3 linked regions of the Arabidopsis thaliana genome follow. The protein of the gene in region 1 interacts with the protein of each later gene in a pairwise test. Each region holds a gene or a part of one and is shown in the gene's direction. Other genes may lie near its edges.

Region 1 (7,219 bases):
CGTGAGGAGATATCTGTCCTGTTAACTTATTGCTTGCAAATCTCATCGCTGATAGAGATTTGCAGGAGTGAACCCTCCAAGGGAAATCACCGCTGAAGCTATTGTTTCCGAGATCTAGAATGCTAAGGCTCTGAAAGCGGGAAAAGTCAAGCTCTGATAAGGTTCCTTCCAGCCGATTAAGCCTCAGATTCAACTTGACGAGATTAGTACAATTTGCAAGAGAAGGCGGGACTGTACCAGTGATGTTATTGATATGGAGTTGGAGGCTTTGCAGGCGAGAGAGCTGACCTATGTCCATTGGTATTTCTCCTCCAAGGTGATTGGAGTACAGCTCGAGCGATTTTAGTTTTGTGAGGTGGGTGATGTCATCATTGATCTTTCCAGAAAGATGATTGACGGGTAGAAAGAGTTGCTCGAGCTCCGAAAGATTGTATATGTCACTTGGGATTTCACCAGAGATATTGTTGAAGCCTGCTTGTAGAACACTTAGCTTCAAACATCTCCCTAGTCCTTGCGGAATATTACCGGTAAAATCATTGTAGGAGAAATCCAGTTTGCTGAGCTGCGGTGAACTCTTGCACATAAACGAAGGGATTGAGCCTGTGAAGCTGTTCTTGCTGACATTGAAACTGATTAAATCGAAAGTTCCTTGCATAAAAATAGAACTAGGGAGGATTTCGCCTTGGAGAAAATTGCTTGACAGATCAACTATCCGAATTGGGAAACATCTGTTGCTTCCATTTCTAAATGTTTGTTCAACTGGCAACTCACCATCGAGGCTGTTGTAACTAAGATCAAGAACTTTGAGCTGATCAAGGGCTGAGAGAAAGCCAGATGGGAGATGACCGGAGAGACGGTTATGAGAAAGATTGAGTTGAGAGAGATGGTGGAGACGCAGAACAGACAAAGGGAGTTTACCATATAGTGCTCTAAAGGGCAATGAGATTGCAGTGATGTGGCTATCCGGGGAATCATCGCAGGTTATTCCTTCCCATGAGCAACAATCAATGGATGGGTTCCAATTCAGAGGAGAAACAGAAGAAGAAACGTTTCCAGAGAACCACAGTAGGGATTCTCGATCTTGCGAGTTGCAGAGAGCCTCTGAAACTGCAATAGAAAGGACACTGATGAAAAGAACACACTGAAGGAGTATGCCAATCATGTGAAAACTCAGAGCTTGTATTGGTCTTGTGGTTGATGAAGTTCTCACAAAACCTTTGGCTTTGAATCTCCCCTCATTAGTCATGGTGAGAACAAGAACAAGACGAGAAACAGACAAAGAAGATGAAAAAACTTGTTGGCCAGTGTTGACTAAGGGGGAATAGCCCAGACATAACAAAATTAGACTTGTCGTACATCTTTAATATTTTTTTTATCTGTTTCTTTGTCCTGACGCTTTCATTATTCCTGTGATCAATTTTCTCATACCATTGGTCCATCGTTAATCCTTTCTCAATTTCATTTTCTACGTAACATGAGAGGAGACCAAGTCCTATGAGAACAGTTGACGTAACAGTGGTTGTTAAGTTAAGTTAAAAAGAGGAAGCTAGTGAGAGTGACCGTTAGGTAGAGAAGTGAGATCTTTAACCACTCTTCTTTCTCTCTCTCTCTGCTTTTTTCGTCGTCTTTCACATCTACTGTTCGCAAACTCTCTTATGCTTCCAATAATGGTGATACCAATTGAGACTTGCAGGAGAATCTCCTCTTCTCCACACTCTATCAACTGGTCAGCCATGGAATGGTCGTTTCAGTTTCAATATTCCTGGATTCTTTTTAAGGATTCCTGTTTCTCTTCTGTTCCTGGTATATTCTTAACGACGAAATTAGTATCGGATCCTGGTAATACATTTTGAAGCTTTTAAGTATGGCCGAGGATTTGGACAAGCCATTGCTGGATCCTGATACTTTCAACAGAAAAGGAATTGATTTGGTAAATGTTCCTTTTAACTGTATACTCTTATTAGTACTTGAATTCTTAGTGGCAAAAAAGGGTTTTGACCCTTCTTGAGCTTGACAGGGTATATTGCCGTTGGAGGAGGTTTTTGAATACCTAAGAACATCGCCTCAAGGGCTTTTATCTGGAGATGCTGAAGAGAGATTGAAGATATTTGGTCCTAACAGACTTGAAGAGAAACAGGTAATAAACATGACATTCTTCTTAGTGTTCCTGCCAATTGTCTCTATTATCTTGTGCTAACCGCCATTTAAAACAACAATGATACAGGAGAACAGATTTGTGAAATTCTTAGGTTTTATGTGGAATCCCTTGTCATGGGTTATGGAAGCTGCTGCATTGATGGCCATTGCCCTCGCTAATAGTCAAGTAAGACAACCACAGTTTTGCTACCATTTTCCATCCATGAGTGTTTATGAAAAAGCACCTTGAAACTCATGGTGAAAATGGTATTACAGAGTCTAGGTCCTGACTGGGAAGACTTTACTGGAATCGTTTGCCTTTTGCTGATCAACGCAACAATCAGCTTCTTTGAAGAAAACAATGCTGGGAATGCTGCTGCAGCTCTTATGGCTCGCTTGGCTTTAAAAACAAGAGTATGGCTCTTAACCTTCCTATGAGCCGAAACGGCAAAGTTAGCTGCACTTTAATTTCTATATTACCTTAAATTTGATTTAGATCCACTCTTATAGGTTCTTAGAGATGGACAGTGGCAAGAACAAGATGCTTCTATCTTGGTACCTGGTGATATAATTAGCATTAAGCTTGGGGATATCATTCCTGCAGATGCTCGCCTTCTTGAAGGAGACCCCTTGAAGATTGATCAGGTACGTCCAGAATATCTAGTCTCTATTCTTTTAGTGTGTACTATGTAAAGACTTTCTCTGACAGAATAGTTAAAACATTTATTCCTGCAGTCAGTGCTGACCGGAGAATCACTACCTGTGACCAAGAAGAAGGGTGAACAGGTCTTTTCTGGCTCTACTTGTAAACAAGGTGAAATAGAAGCTGTTGTGATAGCAACTGGATCGACCACCTTCTTTGGAAAAACAGCACGCTTGGTGGACAGTACAGATGTAACTGGACATTTTCAGCAGGTTTTCCTTCTTTCTTTCCCTTTTGGTTGGATAGAACCTGATTAGTGAACTTGGAATCTGGAAAAACCGAATGTAGTCTTTGACATGTTTTCTTCTAGGTTCTTACATCGATTGGAAACTTCTGCATTTGCTCCATTGCTGTTGGAATGGTTCTTGAAATCATTATCATGTTCCCTGTACAACATCGCTCTTACAGAATTGGGATCAATAATCTTCTTGTACTACTGATTGGAGGGATACCCATTGCCATGCCCACTGTACTATCTGTAACGCTTGCCATTGGATCTCATCGACTTTCACAACAGGTACATCCCACTTTAAGCTGCTGAATGCAAAAGGAAGTCCTTTGTTTGTTATTCTTTAAAACAGTTTGTTAGCAATAATCTGTTTCTTCATGTTCTCTAAGGGTGCCATTACGAAAAGAATGACCGCAATAGAGGAAATGGCTGGGATGGATGTACTCTGCTGTGATAAAACTGGAACCCTTACTTTGAACAGTCTTACCGTTGATAAAAATCTTATTGAGGTACCAATACTACAGATGCGACTTGAATTTCATCAAACAATACTGTTAAGAACAGTTGCCTCCTTCTTCATCGTCTTGTTCTCTATTGTTGGTGTTTAAATGTACAAATCCTTCTGCACAGGTATTCGTTGACTACATGGACAAGGATACAATTTTGTTGCTTGCAGGCCGAGCTTCACGACTAGAAAATCAGGATGCTATAGATGCAGCCATTGTTAGCATGCTTGCAGATCCCAGAGAGGTAGAGATGTTTCTCTAACATGAACTCTCTTTTATAAGACTATCACCTTCTTAGAAGTTTTTCTCATACAAAGGTTGTTTATCTGTAGGCACGTGCAAACATTAGAGAAATCCATTTCTTACCATTCAATCCTGTGGACAAACGTACTGCAATAACGTATATTGATTCCGATGGAAAATGGTATCGTGCTACCAAAGGTGCTCCTGAACAGGTATGTATTCTTAGCACTACCAAACTGACTCTAGTTGTAAAAATTTAGTGAATTTTTTTGTACTGTTTCCATGAAAGAAATACCATCACTAATACAACTGCACTATATTATAGGTTCTAAACTTGTGTCAGCAGAAAAATGAGATTGCGCAAAGAGTTTATGCCATCATTGATAGATTTGCAGAAAAAGGTTTGAGGTCTCTTGCGGTTGCTTATCAGGTAACATCATTGTCCTCTCCCTTTCTCTCTTGAGCTGGTTTTATCATAAGTGTACTTTTGAAGAAGAACGTTATGATGACATTAATTACTCCAATTCATTGCATCATTTAAATAATTGTTTCTAGGAAATTCCAGAGAAAAGCAACAACAGTCCTGGAGGACCATGGAGGTTCTGTGGTCTGTTGCCACTGTTTGATCCCCCAAGGCATGATAGCGGTGAAACCATCCTTAGAGCTCTTAGCCTGGGAGTTTGCGTTAAGATGATCACTGGTAAATCTTAACCTTTAGCTTGGTAGGCTTGGCCCGACAGAGAAACACATATACCCTTGTGAGTAAACGGTAAAACTCTGGGAAAATGAATGATAAGTTTGGAACCACATGTAGGTGATCAATTGGCGATTGCAAAGGAGACAGGCAGACGTCTTGGAATGGGAACCAACATGTATCCTTCTTCCTCTTTGTTAGGCCACAACAATGATGAGCATGAAGCCATTCCAGTGGATGAGCTAATTGAAATGGCAGATGGATTTGCTGGAGTTTTCCCTGGTCATATTCTAACACAACCTTAGTACCTACGAAATTTAAGATTTGCTCTCATTTCTAATCCCAAATTTTTTTTGTCTCTCATGTTACAGAACATAAGTATGAGATTGTAAAGATTTTACAAGAAATGAAGCATGTGGTTGGAATGACCGGAGATGGTGTGAATGATGCTCCTGCTCTCAAAAAAGCTGACATCGGAATAGCTGTCGCAGATGCAACAGATGCTGCAAGAAGTTCTGCTGACATAGTACTAACTGATCCCGGCTTAAGTGTAATTATCAGTGCTGTCTTGACCAGCAGAGCCATTTTCCAGCGGATGAGGAACTATACAGTAAGTACTAAAGTTATAGTTATACTACTATCATCTGATCCCTGATAGCTAAAGAAATGAAAAATCATATAATATAGGATATGGATTTCAAGTAGCCTGATGACATTCTCAACTAGCTTATGTTTTTCTCTGAATTACCGACTAATCAGTACGAATCTGCAGGTATATGCAGTCTCTATCACCATACGCATAGTGGTAAGGAGCTTCATGATACATGATCTAACTCATGTTAGTTAAGTTACATCAACTTACTTGAACTTTCTCTTCTTGACATTGTTTCATGCAGCTTGGTTTTACACTTTTAGCGTTGATATGGGAATACGACTTCCCACCTTTCATGGTTCTGATAATCGCAATACTCAATGACGGTAATCTCTTAATCAATAGCTTCATATTGATGTAACCTAATTTTTATCACTTTCAAACGCTATGTTTATCTCCTACGCATCAGGGACTATCATGACTATTTCTAAAGATCGAGTTAGGCCATCTCCTACACCCGAGAGTTGGAAGCTCAACCAGATATTTGCGACAGGAATTGTCATTGGAACATATCTAGCATTGGTCACCGTCCTGTTTTACTGGATCATTGTTTCTACCACCTTCTTCGAGGTATCTTCCTATCACTCAAAGTAAGTTAGATTTTGCTTACCGAGAAGAATGCATACCGGTGACCAATCTTTAATGGCTGCAGAAACACTTCCATGTAAAATCAATTGCCAACAACAGTGAACAAGTGTCATCCGCGATGTATCTCCAAGTGAGCATCATCAGTCAGGCACTCATATTTGTAACACGTAGTCGAGGCTGGTCATTTTTTGAACGTCCCGGGACTCTCCTGATTTTTGCCTTCATTCTTGCTCAACTTGTACGAATTCCCCATACTTCGCATTTTTTCCATCACAGAATGCTATATAGCACACATAGGTCGTGATATTGACTTGTCCATTTCATGTACACAGGCGGCTACATTAATTGCTGTGTATGCCAACATCAGCTTTGCTAAAATCACCGGCATTGGATGGAGATGGGCAGGTGTTATATGGTTATACAGTCTGATATTTTACATACCTCTAGATGTTATAAAGTTTGTCTTTCACTACGCATTGAGTGGAGAAGCTTGGAATCTCGTATTGGACCGTAAGGTTGGTACATGTCCTGTGTCTCTTGTCCTCTGCTTGTTAGTCAGTCTCACACTTAAACTATGCATTTTCTTGAAGATGAGACCGTTGGTTTGTCTTGCAGACAGCTTTTACTTACAAGAAAGATTATGGGAAAGATGATGGATCGCCCAATGTAACCATCTCTCAGAGAAGTCGTTCCGCAGAAGAACTCAGAGGAAGCCGTTCTCGCGCTTCTTGGATCGCTGAACAAACCAGGAGGCGTGCAGAAATCGCCAGGTTCTCTTTTTATCTATACCCCGTTTTGGGTATTCTCTTCCATTTTCACATACTACCAAAATAACTATATTGTTTTTCATTTGGTAGGCTTCTAGAGGTTCATTCAGTGTCAAGGCATTTAGAATCTGTGATCAAACTCAAACAAATTGACCAAAGGATGATCCGTGCAGCTCATACTGTCTAAAACACTCTCTTAGTTTTTCCCTATCTCAAAATTTACATAAAGAGGAATCGAACAATGTTGTGTTCCTCAGAGAAGTAAAAACAATATTTAGAGCATTCATATGATCTGTAGTCTGTAATGTAGTCTTGTTTTCCGGTGACAGCAGAAATTTCACCTGATATGCTCTGCTGAGATCAATTGTAGGCCATATATGTCGGTGTTTCACTGAACCTGTGATCATTGTTCATCACTTTGGTTAAATTGAAAAATCACCACTTTTATTTCCTGTGTAATCGAATATTTACTCTCTTGTTTTCAATTATTACTAATTTAGTCCACATTCCGTGTTGAATAAATCTTGGTTTATAATTACTTGTTTCAAAAGCAATCAAGCTGTTCTTATAGAACACAAAATTCTCAAGCAAATAAACTATATTTCACCGACAAAATTCACAAAACCGTCGGAAAAGAATCAAACGAATTTGACATTAAACCACCTACTATAATACAGGTAAAGAAGAAGAACCATGGAAAC
Region 2 (7,056 bases), 870 kb from region 1:
TATCCTTGTCAACCTTTCCAATGAATCCCCAGATAGGTAGATCATCATAGTACATCTGGAAGTAGTAGTCCTTCTCAACAGCTTTTCTGAACTGTTTGACCTCTTCTTTACTCAACTTCTTGTTGCAGTATACCTCAGACTCTTTTTCATCTCTGAAGTTGAGCTTGTATGGAGCGCTAACTAGCCGATCCCCGTTTAGAACCTCGCCAAGAGCTTCCTTCTTCTCTTTCACACCCTCTATAAACCATATTCAATAATGGGATGATCGAATCAGGAGATGTCACACAAATCAGTTGCGGCTTAAACACAAATCGTGTGATTAAGCTAGTAAAGATATAAGCATACCTGGGATACAGAAGGGAAGATCAAAATATCGATACGTCTCACTGCAATCATCATTGAACAAAACCAAAATCAGTCATATAATAGTATTCAAATCTAAGACAGATCCATCACATAAACGAAAAACATTCCAAATGTAGTTTCTTCTTTCACTCTTTGGTTTTAACATTACGCATTTTGCAGTGTACTCAGTTATCAATGTCGTTACTCAATTCAATAGCAACAGATTCAACAATAAACGATCAATTTATCATCCTCAGGCTTAAGAATGGGAAACAACCTCAGATCTGAAGCTCAGATCTAGAATAGATGTTTCCGTTTACCTTGGATTGTGAAATGGGCCGACCTTGTTGGCGTAGAGAGGAACGGTGTCTCCTTCCTTGTAACGGTGGTCGGAGGCGTCGGATCTGACATAGCCGGCGCCGGAGAAGAGGATAGCTCCGACAAGAAGGAGAATCGTCGTCGGTGTCCTCATTGCGTATTCTGCTCAAATCGTGAGATCTGAGTAACTTTTTTTATTTGGGAGAAGAGGGAGAAAAATGGAGGAAATAACGACAATATTTATATACCAAAGACTTCAATCAAACTCGAGTCAGCTACACAAATTTTAATATTTTTATTATTTTCTCACTTTATTTCATAAGAAAAATACATAAAAAAACTATAGTCAATAATACTTTATACCATTTCCAACCATAAAAATAAATATCAATGTCTATAAATTCATAAATATATGGCTTTTGAAACCAAGACTAATTATTTATAACAAATGTGAGTGGCATTTAACAAAATACAAATCATTTTCCCATATGTAGGCTAATTAAACCAAAAAAAGAATATGTAGGCAGTGAGCGAACTAATTGTTCTGCCAAACCTATGTATCTTATAGTGTTTTTTTTCCTTGGGTCGAAAATCTTATCGTATTAACACTTCATAAATTTTGAATAGTTAAATTATTACTTCTTTGTATTAGATGTGGAGTGGAGTGACTATTTTTTTAATATCTTTTGTGGTTATAGTATAGTGAATATGAAGAATGACGAATGATGTTACACGAGACCAAGTTTTTGAAAAAAAAAATATATGAATCTGATAATCATTTTTCCTTTACGTGCGTTATCGTACGTAATTGCTTTGCATGATCTCACGTCATGACAGCAATTATAGAAACTAAACAATTTAAAATTCTCATTTATACACAACGTGCATCGTTTTGAGGCATGGATAATTTAAGGTTTTCGATTTATAGATTGAATCAGCAAGAAATTACAATGTAGCCACTTATACCAAAAATAAAATCAAACAATTTGAACAAGATACATTGAAGTATGGATCAAAACAAACAAACAAAAGTGACACTAGTTAAGTTTAGAGACTAGAGTGAGTCGGTTTTGTTATTTCATAATTTGGTTCATGTAAATATATGTACCCTTCATTTGAACAGAGTAGTATAATCCAGTAACTACATTCATATCTAGCAAAGAAAACAGAAACCTAATCAAAAACGTATTAAGATTTCTCAAATTTTCGTTCAAATTAGTGATAGAAAACCAGACGTAACCGAAATAAAACAGGTCAAGCCAAACCAGACTAGATTCAATCTTGGTTCACTCTTAAACGAAGCAGATTCGGTTCGGTAAAAGCATCTTTGACCGTAATCACTGGCAAAACGAAAGATTGATCGTTTGCTTCTTTCTACCGGAGATGACGAGTATAATCGGCGCGGCGTTGCCGTACAAATCACCGGAGAAAGCAATTGCATCTTCTTCGTATTCAGCTGAGAACGATTCGAGTCCTGTTGATGCTGTTATTTTCGCGGGAACTTCGCTGGTTCTCGGCACCGCTTGTAGATATTTGTTTAACGGCACTAGAGTTCCGTACACCGTCGTTCTTCTCGTCATCGGCATTTTTCTCGGATCCCTAGGTCTTATTTGTTTGCTCATTAAGCTTTATAGCTCAGTTTCAATTTCGTGGAAGATTTTAGAAAGTAGTTAAATTTTGGATTTTTTTGCTTCTGTAGAATATGGAACTAAGCATAACCTTGGGAAGCTCGGCCATGGAATTCGTATCTGTAAGCTACTGTATTTTCTCTTCTCCATACTGTTAGATTACGAGCTCTAAAAAATGGCAACTTTACAGGGAATGGTATCAACCCTGACCTACTTTTGGCTGTTTTTCTCCCTGTTCTTCTTTTCGAGAGCTCATTCTCCATGGATGTGCACCAGATCAAGGTTTTTACTTTCCTGATTGAGCTACTTCCTTGGCTGTGTTGGTTCCTGGTATTGATTGTTTTACATCATTGGTAGAGATGTATGGGACAAATGGTTCTGCTTGCTGGACCTGGAGTTCTGATTTCCACCTTTTGTCTCGGAGCTCTTATAAAGGTACTTTAACTAGCTTCAACATTTTCGACTGTGATTAAGTGAGCTTCAATTAACTTAACAATTTTTTCGAGTTATGCTCTTGTAGCTTACTTTTCCATATAACTGGGACTGGAAAACATCATTGTTGCTTGGAGGACTTTTAGGAGCTACCGACCCCGTGGCTGTTGTTGCTTTGCTAAAGGAGCTTGGTGCTAGTAAGAAGATGACCACGTTAATTGATGGGGAATCTCTCATGAACGATGGGTAACCATGTCAAACTCTTATGTTTAGCATCAAGGTGATGTTATGTCATATATGATCAAGCTTAGTTGTTTGGATTATTCAGGGTATCGGTTGTGGTTTTTCAATTATTCTTCAAGATGGTGATGGGGCATAACTCTGATTGGGGTTCCATAATCAAATTTCTTGTCCAAAACTCATTCGGAGCGTATGGATTATTTTCCTTTGTTAGTAGTATTGTATGTCGCTGTCTTCTTTTCTCCGCTTATGTTGTTCTGGTTTTTTAGTGTAGGCATTGGTCTAGCTTTTGGAATTGCATCAGTTTTTTGGCTTAAATTCATATTCAATGACACGGTGGCTCAGATCACTGTAACACTTTCAGCGAGCTATTTCGCCTATTACACTGTATGCTCTTCTCTTCTACATAACTTAGTCCCCAATGGAGAATCTTAAATCTCTAGGAAACCTAAGAAATTTCTACTATGTACAGGCTCAAGAGTGGGCTGGGGTTTCTGGAATTTTGACTGTCATGATTTTGGGGATGTAAGTCGTGGTAAATTATCCCTTCTTTCTGTTGTTATGTGTCAAAAAGCCATTGTTCATAACATAATTGTAATAGGTTTTTCGCTGCATTTGCAAGGACAGCTTTTAAGGGGGACAGTCACCAGAGTCTGCATCACTTCTGGTATTTCACAACTCAGTGTTCTTTTTTCGTCAAATCAAAGGAAATCTTTACATGTATATATTATATTTTTATGATTGCCCTATAACTTTTGTAGGGAAATGGCCGCTTACATTGCAAATACACTAGTTTTTATGCTCAGGTACGAACTGTCTGGCAAGATTCGAAAACAAAAATTTACTGGTTATTTTACAAACAAAATACTGCAGACGATGTTTTAGCCGATACCTGATTGATACAAGATCATTGCATGTGTGTCTCTTGTGAATTGCAGTGGAGTTATTATCGCTGAAAGCGTTCTTAGCGGTCAGACAATATCTTACAAAGGTGTCTCTTCACAATTTATTATTCTACGTCCGGATTTTTTTTTTATTTTGTTCTTGGAAGATGTAAAGGGAGGTTTTCTCCTAGAATTCGTCATGATTAACGGATAACATCGCTAATTCCTGATACCATTACCGCAGTAGCTTTCTTTTTGACATATATTGGGGTTAAGAGGACCATTCATTACTCGTAACGTTCTTTTCAGGAAACTCGTGGAGCTTCCTTTTCCTCTTATACTTGTATGTCCAACTTTCCCGCTGTGTTGTTGTTGGAGTTTTGTACCCATTGCTATGCCGTTCTGGCTATGGGTTGGATTGGAAGGAATCCATCATACTCACGTGGTCTGGATTAAGGGGTGCTGTTTCGCTGTCGCTCGCTCTATCTGTAAAAGTGAGTTCTGAAGAAATGGCATTTCATTCATGCAAGAGCAATATCTACTAATTTCAAATCTGTTTTCAAATCTTTTATATTCATGTTCCCATTTCCTTTTCTCTGACATACTATAGCTCTCGGTCATATGATTCAGCAATCAAGTGGAAATTCATATCTCAGTTCAGATACGGGAACAAGGGTGAGTTCTGAAACACAGTATGAACTACTTTTGAATTTCTTTCTGGAGGCTCTTTTTGTTATCTTGATGTGTTTCAGCTGTTTTGCAGTTTCTATTCCTCACAGGTGGGATTGTTTTCCTAACTTTGGTTGTTAATGGATCCACTACCCAATTGCTCTTGCACCTTCTTCGCATGGACACTTTAACGGCCACTAAGGTCAGTATGTTAATCCTATATTCTCTTGTGCTGCTACTTTTCAAATCTAAAAAGCAAAGACAGGATATATGGGTAGATAATGGAACCTCTGATCATCCGTCTTTATACATGCACAAATGACTGCATCCTTCTGCAGTTGTGGGTATATTAGCTTAGGTTTGTGCGTTTTACAAACCGAGAATAGGTAGTTAGAGATTGGGAATCAACCTGCTTCAGAATCTGTCACCGATCCTTCTAATGTATATACACGCACAATCTTTGCAACTAATGCTTCAGAAATATAATGATAATGCTCCTCTTTTTCTATTGACAGAAACGAATATTGGAGTATACAAAGTTTGAAATGATGAAGACTGCTTTAAAAGCTTTTGAAAATCTTGGAGATGACGAGGAGCTTGGATCTGCTGACTGGCCTACAGTTATAAGACATATTTCAAGCTTGAAAGATTTAGAAGGGAGACAAGTTAATCCTCACGATGGGTACGAAGCTGGAAGTCTTGACCCTACGAATATAATGGACATACGTATACGCTTCTTAAATGGTATTTCACAATGCGTAGTAAATTCTTCTCATTGTCAAACTAGTGTCGTTCCAAAAGTAGCTATTGATTCGAGACTCTTGCCTGTATCAGGTGTCCAGGCAGCTTACTGGGAGATGCTTGATGATGGGAGAATAACACAATGTACTGCTAATGTTTTGATGCAATCAGTAGATGAGGCACTTGACCTTGTTTCTACCAGTTCTTTAAGCGACTGGAGGGGTTTAGAACCGCGTGTTCATTTCCCAAATTACTACAAGTTTCTTCAGTCAAAAATTATCCCCCACAAGTTAGTCACGCATTTGATCGTTGAAAGACTGGAATCTGCTTGTTACATTTCTTCTGCATTTCTCCGTGCCCATAGGATTGCGCGACAGCAATTGCATATCTTTCTAGGTATGCATCACTCTGTTCTGTTAAATAATATCTCTATGTTAAATTCGTTTAAGACTCTGCATATTAGCTCACGAATACAGACTTGAATGAAAACCTTTGGTCCATCATTTACCTGAGAATGTGCTTTTTTCTTTACACAGGTAACAGTAACATTGCCTCTACTGTAATCAATGAAAGTGAGGTGGAAGGAGAAGAAGCAAAACAGTTCTTGGAAGATGTCCGTGATTCATTTCCTCAGGTTTGGAACCATATACTTTTTTTTGAAACCCATTAAATTGTCAGGATTAACTGATAGGCTGATATTGGCCAATATATTTGTCAGGTTTTGAGTGTTTTGAAAACAAGACAAGTAACACATTATGTGCTGAATCATCTAAATGGTTATATTAAAAACCTTGAGAAGGTTGGCTTGTTAGAGGGAAAAGAAGTTTCTCATCTTCATGATGTTGTTCAGGTAAAATTTGTAGATTCTTTGCCATCCATGTTTTAGCCACATGATTGAGCTTAACACTCTCACTCTACTCTCCCTCTTCAGTCTGACTTGAAGAAGCTCCTGAGACATCCTCCTTCACTAAAACTTCCAAATGTAGACGATCTGATCACCAGCAATCCTTTATTGAAAGATCGCTCAAGCTTCAGGAGTTTGGCCATTGGCGAAACAGATGCATGAACTGAGACTTTAGGTATCCTTGTCAGAATCAACTAGAGTAGAATCTGGTTCCAGGATCGAGTCATGAGCTCGTTCGATCTATGACCAAAAACAGTCCATTCGTATAGTTTTTAACTTGTTTCATAATTACAGGGATCGAATTCATGAACTCGTATAATCATTTCAATCAATCCTTTTTGGCTTTGAAAAGGAAAATAAGAACGATAATGGTTAAATCCGTAAAGGGAAAAAAACATCAACGAAAAAACAAATCATGGTCGCTCTCTAAGCCAAAAACGCGTTAACTTGGAACCAAAGAAAGAAAAAGTCTTGACTACTTCAAACTCTGACAGTACACTTTAAAGTTAAACCTATATTAATCACTTATATGCAAAACAAATCTAGATCCCAGAAATATATAAATTCCCAAATTATAAACGAATTTGCAATAGGAACAAAAATATAAGAACGAGCCAACGCGTCTTGAGAATTTTCACGCGGTTCTTTTAACTCACCCAACTCTTCTTCACTATAAACTCTCACGTCGGCAGTTCCAGCTTGCAGAGACACATCATCATCTCTAGTACTAAAACCAAACCGACATAAACCGGGCTGAGAGAGAGAAATGGGTGAAAGAGAAGCTTGTCTAGTCCCAAAGAGAGGACAAGTTCTTAAAAGAGTCATGAGTGTTGTCTTCTTTTCTTGTCTTTGTTTCCCTTCTCGTAAAAATACACAATCATGTCTCCGATCATCT
Region 3 (4,340 bases), on another chromosome or scaffold:
TACTGCACATTTGCATTGTTTGTTGTTTTGATGAATCAACAAAAAAGCTCCATATGTTGGTTAATCATGTTCTCAAAGAGAAGAAAACATACCTGAACGCTCAACCAGAACTTGGGAGGCTTGGTTCCAAGGACATCCTCCACTGCAGAAACCGACATTTGGCCGTCGAAGATGCTAGGCCGAGAGAAGATGTTCTGGACCACTGCTCAATAATACAAAACATGAAAATGTGTGGTGGTGGTGGTGAGCATTGAAGGGAGGAAATGAAAGAGAAGAAGACATACGAGTGACTTTGTTGAATATGGTGTCGGCATCGTAATCAATGACAAACCAGCCCTTGAGGTCCTGACCGTTGACCTTGTAGGTCTTCTGGGCTTTGGGGAAGACCGAGGAGATGGTGGTTGCATTGTCAAGTCTGATATCTGACAAGCAAAGGCCCACACCGTCCTTAGTCATCTGAAGGTTGCACAACATTGTGAAGCCAGGCGAGCTGGTGCCAATAGCCAAGTCGTTTGCAGAGATGCTTGACTCAGGGAAAAGACCCGAGAAGCCCCCTCTGGCCACAACGGCAGGCTCTTGTCCTGGAAGACAAAAGACAGGTACGGATTCTTAGAAACAAACAAACAACATGGTATCTTAAGTCTTAACATTAAACAACAACAAAAAAAAAAACATGGTAGTATGCAATATGGGCATACTCTGTAAAAGGATGCTTACCGTTAAGGGTAAGCCATTTCTTGGCAGGAACAGCTGCGGCAGCAGCAGGAGTCTTGGGTGCCGCAACAGAAGAGTGTAAGAAAAGGGAGAAAAGAATGAAAAACCTCAGCATCTCTATCTGATTGATCCTGCATTTGTGTGTAACGTACGTACCCCAATGGAAAAGCAAAGTCAGGATACATGTAACAAAAACAGAATTGTCACATTTAAGAAAATTGTGAAAGAGAGATCTTACAGCGAGAAAAGAACATGAATCCCCTCTCCTGCTTGTTTTCCTCGTTTAGTTAGAGGAAAGGAAAAAGAAGAGAAAGAGGAGATGGGTCAAACAAGGTTAATTAATGGTAAAAAAAAGTAACTTGCTCTCATATCCTCCATTTATGGCCATTTACTCCTTTCTATTTTTATCTCTTCTTCTCCACCATTCCCTTCTTAACCGCTTTTTCTTTTTTTGATGCTTTCTTACATCTTCTTTGCACAAATGGGTGTAACACCCCTCAGTTTTGGACTTTGTACTATATTCATTTGTCATACATGTATGTAGTTAAAATGACAATATTAGAGTTTGGCATTCGGACCAAACCAAGTTGTCCGATCTAAACCAAACCAATATTCCGTTAATAAGAAAACTCGATTGGCAAAAATTAAAATATTCTTTGGTTTCAGTTTTTGCCTAGACTTAAAATTCTTAAAAATCCAATTCTATGTGATGGAAAAATCTTTGATTCCGGTCCAATTCTGCATCAATATATGCTAAACCGAACCGAGACTGCCCACATAAAATTGAATTGAACCAAAGGTTTTTAATTTTTACTTCAACATAGCGAATAAGAAAAAGAGGGTATATATTCATTATTCAATGTTAATGAGAAGGCGTCTGCGTTTGGTTCGACACCTCAAAACTTGTTTTGCCTTTAGCATCTCCGAGTAAGGAATCCAGGTCCAAAGCCTCTTCTCTTCCTCCTCCTCGCTTCCTTCTCACGCAACCTTGGATCCACCGCAGCTATGAAGATCACCGCCTTGCTCGTTCTCAAGTGCGCTCCCGAAGCTTCTGATCCCGTCATCCTCTCCAACGCTTCGGACGTCTCTCACTTCGGTTATTTCCAGCGATCTAGCGTCAAGGAGTTCGTCGTCTTTGTCGGTCGCACTGTCGCTAGCCGAACCCCTCCTTCCCAACGCCAGTCTGTTCAACACGAAGGTTCTTCTCCTTCTTCTTCTACCTCTCTAGATCGATTGTTTTCAAATCTTCTTTCTCCCGGATCTAATGCAATCTCCTTTCCTCTTTGATTTTTATTCGATTTCTAAATTCGGATCGGCTTTTCGATTTTGAAACTTTTATGATTTAGGATGTGCACCGTTTCTGATTCTAGATCTTCCTGGACTATGCCCCGGCTTTAATTTCTTGCGATTCTATCTTATTGTTCTAGTCCTCGAATTTGGGATAATTAGGGTTCGTGTTTTTATTTTGTTTTTGGTTTAGAGTACAAGGTTCACGCTTACAATAGAAATGGCCTTTGCGCGGTGGGTTTCATGGACGATCATTACCCTGTTCGAAGTGCTTTCTCTCTTCTCAATCAGGTAATATCATTATGTTGAAAGTGGTTCTCAATGCATCATTCGTAAGTTTTCCTGTAATTTGGGTTGCTTGACATTTAATTTTGTCTCAGGTCCTAGATGAGTACCAGAAGAGTTTTGGTGAGTCATGGAGGTCTGCAAAAGAAGACTCCAATCAGCCTTGGCCATACTTAACCGAAGCTTTAAACAAATTTCAGGTTCTTCACTTGTGCAACTGTATTCGCTCTTTTACTGTGAATTTTGTTAAAACTGTAGTTATATTAAGCTCAGTTAGGTGGACATTAGAATCCAATCGAATGATTCATTCTTCATGAATTAATTTTAGTAGCCCCCATTGTTTTATGACCATGTTGGATTTTGAGTGATTTGATCTTAAATTGATTTTGGGATTGTCCCGTATTTGTAATCTTCAGGACCCAGCAGAGGCTGATAAGCTGTTGAAAATCCAGAGGGAGTTGGATGAGACAAAGATTATCCTTGTAAGTGCTGTCTCCGGTCCTTTCTTGTAGACCCTTATACATAAGCGGTACTTCCTTTTCTAAGTTTCAGTATACTTGCCAATTATACATAAATGCTGTTCTGTCGGTGAGTTTACTTTCTTCTGAAAAACACCAAAACAAGAAGAAAGTCTTGGTAGTTATGATGGATGTCCCTGTCTCCGTAAGACTGATTTTTTGTTCTGTATTGTAGCATAAAACCATTGATAGTGTTCTAGCCCGTGGTGAGAAGCTGGACAGCCTAGTGGAGAAGAGCTCAGATTTGAGCATGGCATCACAGGTAACATTCTAAAGTCACATTCTAGAAATTCTTATAGATTTAGTTTCCTTTTTTCCCTGTCTCGATCTCTGAGCATAGTTGGTGAACACGTTAGAAAGGGTTGTTGATTTAGCAGGCTTATAAGTGTTGTTGATTGATAGAGGAACTATTGCATGTTATTGTTGGGGTAGATAAATAGAGGAAGAATGTGGATTTAGAATACCTTCTTTGAAAAAGCTTTCTGCTTCAGCCTGCAGACATTTGAGTGCAGTTTGAACTATACAGTTGGATTTTGGAATTATTAGGTTTGCTACGAAGAATCATAGTGTTTTTTGCTATATCATCTGACCATGGGGAGGAACATATGTATTAGTCATATCCTCTGGAATCTCAAGATATTCTTCGTTATTTAGATTAGGTAAACCATGTTTACTTCCAACATGAAAATCTGATTTGGTTGTATTGGTTGGAACAGATGTTTTACAAGCAAGCGAAGAAAACAAATTCATGCTGTACTATTCTGTGAGCTGGAAGTCCTGCTGGGTATATAGTCAACCAAACTTTTGCTGGGGGGAGACTGTTTTTTCTATCGTCTTATCTATACATATAATTCCGTCTGTAGTTTGCATGCATTATTTTGATTCCATAAGTCTCGAGTCGTGTGGTGTGTTTATCCAAATACATAATGTCAACTTCTGCAAGATTTGAATTGTCTTTCCCAGATTTGATCTGATTGAATTTGTGTGCGCTTCCTTATGGTAAAAGAGACGACTTTGCATAACTAGATGAAGATGTCGTAAATAGACAAAAGCAGATGATGGAAGATAACTAGAGTAGACAAAGGGGGTAGTATATTACACAGACAAAAGGATCAAAGAGGTGAAACAAAGTCTTTGTGTGCCGTGTAATCTATTTGCCGAAGAGAGATTTGAACCACCAAACGCCCTTGGAGTCTTCAGGGGCAGTGTTGGACTCAGGTGGTGTGTCACTCTGAGGAGTCTTGTGAAGCTTGCTGATGTCATAACCTTCCTCCACTGCCTTCTCCACCAGCTGCTTATACGTCTCTTCCTCCATTTGCGCCGTCCTGCTCAATATCTACACCACCCACATATACAGAGTCAATCATTTTTGGGATCAATTTCGATTATTCGTTAAAGAGAAAAAAAAAAGAGTACCAACCCAGAGATAACTCCTGGAAGGCTGGCCAATGAGAGCGTGCTGGTAGTCAGGATCGATGTAGAGCACCCAGTAGTCTCCGGTGACGGGAATGATTGGGAGGAAAGGAGGGACATAGA

Evidence for each region. The genes of interacting proteins can lie anywhere in the genome.
Region 2: the proteins of AHA10 (region 1) and NHX8 interact in a protein complementation assay, tested with the Arabidopsis thaliana proteins (one large-scale study listed by BioGRID).
Region 3: the proteins of AHA10 (region 1) and YKT61 interact in a protein complementation assay, tested with the Arabidopsis thaliana proteins (one large-scale study listed by BioGRID).

Annotation. Positions count from the first base shown.
Region 1 is NC_003070.9:5,902,194-5,909,412, forward strand, and holds AHA10 (autoinhibited H[+]-ATPase), read left to right. Parts: upstream 1-1,864; coding exon 1,865-1,930; intron 1,931-2,017; coding exon 2,018-2,137; intron 2,138-2,224; coding exon 2,225-2,323; intron 2,324-2,412; coding exon 2,413-2,550; intron 2,551-2,646; coding exon 2,647-2,781; intron 2,782-2,871; coding exon 2,872-3,051; intron 3,052-3,149; coding exon 3,150-3,356; intron 3,357-3,457; coding exon 3,458-3,577; intron 3,578-3,698; coding exon 3,699-3,818; intron 3,819-3,906; coding exon 3,907-4,029; intron 4,030-4,142; coding exon 4,143-4,247; intron 4,248-4,372; coding exon 4,373-4,517; intron 4,518-4,631; coding exon 4,632-4,793; intron 4,794-4,882; coding exon 4,883-5,121; intron 5,122-5,283; coding exon 5,284-5,316; intron 5,317-5,407; coding exon 5,408-5,489; intron 5,490-5,572; coding exon 5,573-5,733; intron 5,734-5,815; coding exon 5,816-5,989; intron 5,990-6,083; coding exon 6,084-6,266; intron 6,267-6,366; coding exon 6,367-6,521; and 3 more. Other genes in the region: RLP3 (receptor like protein 3), read right to left, coding at 1-1,246. UniProt on the Arabidopsis thaliana protein: The plasma membrane H(+) ATPase of plants and fungi generates a proton gradient that drives the active transport of nutrients by H(+)-symport. The resulting external acidification and/or internal alkinization may mediate growth responses.
Region 2 is NC_003070.9:5,031,430-5,038,485, reverse strand, and holds NHX8 (Na+/H+ exchanger 8), read left to right. Parts: upstream 1-1,875; 5' UTR 1,876-2,046; coding exon 2,047-2,266; intron 2,267-2,362; coding exon 2,363-2,413; intron 2,414-2,481; coding exon 2,482-2,573; intron 2,574-2,648; coding exon 2,649-2,726; intron 2,727-2,811; coding exon 2,812-2,969; intron 2,970-3,051; coding exon 3,052-3,153; intron 3,154-3,232; coding exon 3,233-3,350; intron 3,351-3,435; coding exon 3,436-3,488; intron 3,489-3,564; coding exon 3,565-3,630; intron 3,631-3,724; coding exon 3,725-3,769; intron 3,770-3,901; coding exon 3,902-3,954; intron 3,955-4,156; coding exon 4,157-4,341; intron 4,342-4,457; coding exon of another isoform or gene 4,458-4,477; coding exon 4,478-4,522; intron 4,523-4,610; coding exon 4,611-4,718; intron 4,719-5,031; coding exon 5,032-5,260; intron 5,261-5,350; coding exon 5,351-5,653; intron 5,654-5,793; coding exon 5,794-5,891; intron 5,892-5,975; coding exon 5,976-6,107; intron 6,108-6,188; coding exon 6,189-6,323; and 2 more. Other genes in the region: AT1G14670 (Endomembrane protein 70 protein family), read right to left, coding at 1-237, 346-386, 666-817. UniProt on the Arabidopsis thaliana protein: May act in low affinity electroneutral exchange of protons for cations such as Na(+) or K(+) across membranes. May also exchange Li(+) and Cs(+) with a lower affinity.
Region 3 is NC_003076.8:23,496,558-23,500,897, forward strand, and holds YKT61 (SNARE-like superfamily protein), read left to right. Parts: upstream 1-1,581; 5' UTR 1,582-1,719; coding exon 1,720-1,912; intron 1,913-2,060; coding exon 2,061-2,134; intron 2,135-2,194; coding exon of another isoform or gene 2,195-2,202; coding exon 2,203-2,292; intron 2,293-2,381; coding exon 2,382-2,486; intron 2,487-2,702; coding exon 2,703-2,768; intron 2,769-2,979; coding exon 2,980-3,066; intron 3,067-3,503; exon of another isoform or gene 3,504-3,520; coding exon 3,521-3,571; 3' UTR 3,572-3,827; downstream 3,828-4,340. Other genes in the region: SVL4 (SHV3-like 4), read right to left, coding at 1-2, 93-202, 285-581, 718-829; TIL (temperature-induced lipocalin), read right to left, coding at 3,955-4,140, 4,225-4,340. UniProt on the Arabidopsis thaliana protein: May be involved in the secretory pathway. Essential for membrane fusion mediated by either SYP41 or SYP61; triggers the fusion of phospholipid vesicles containing SYP41 or SYP61 and VTI12.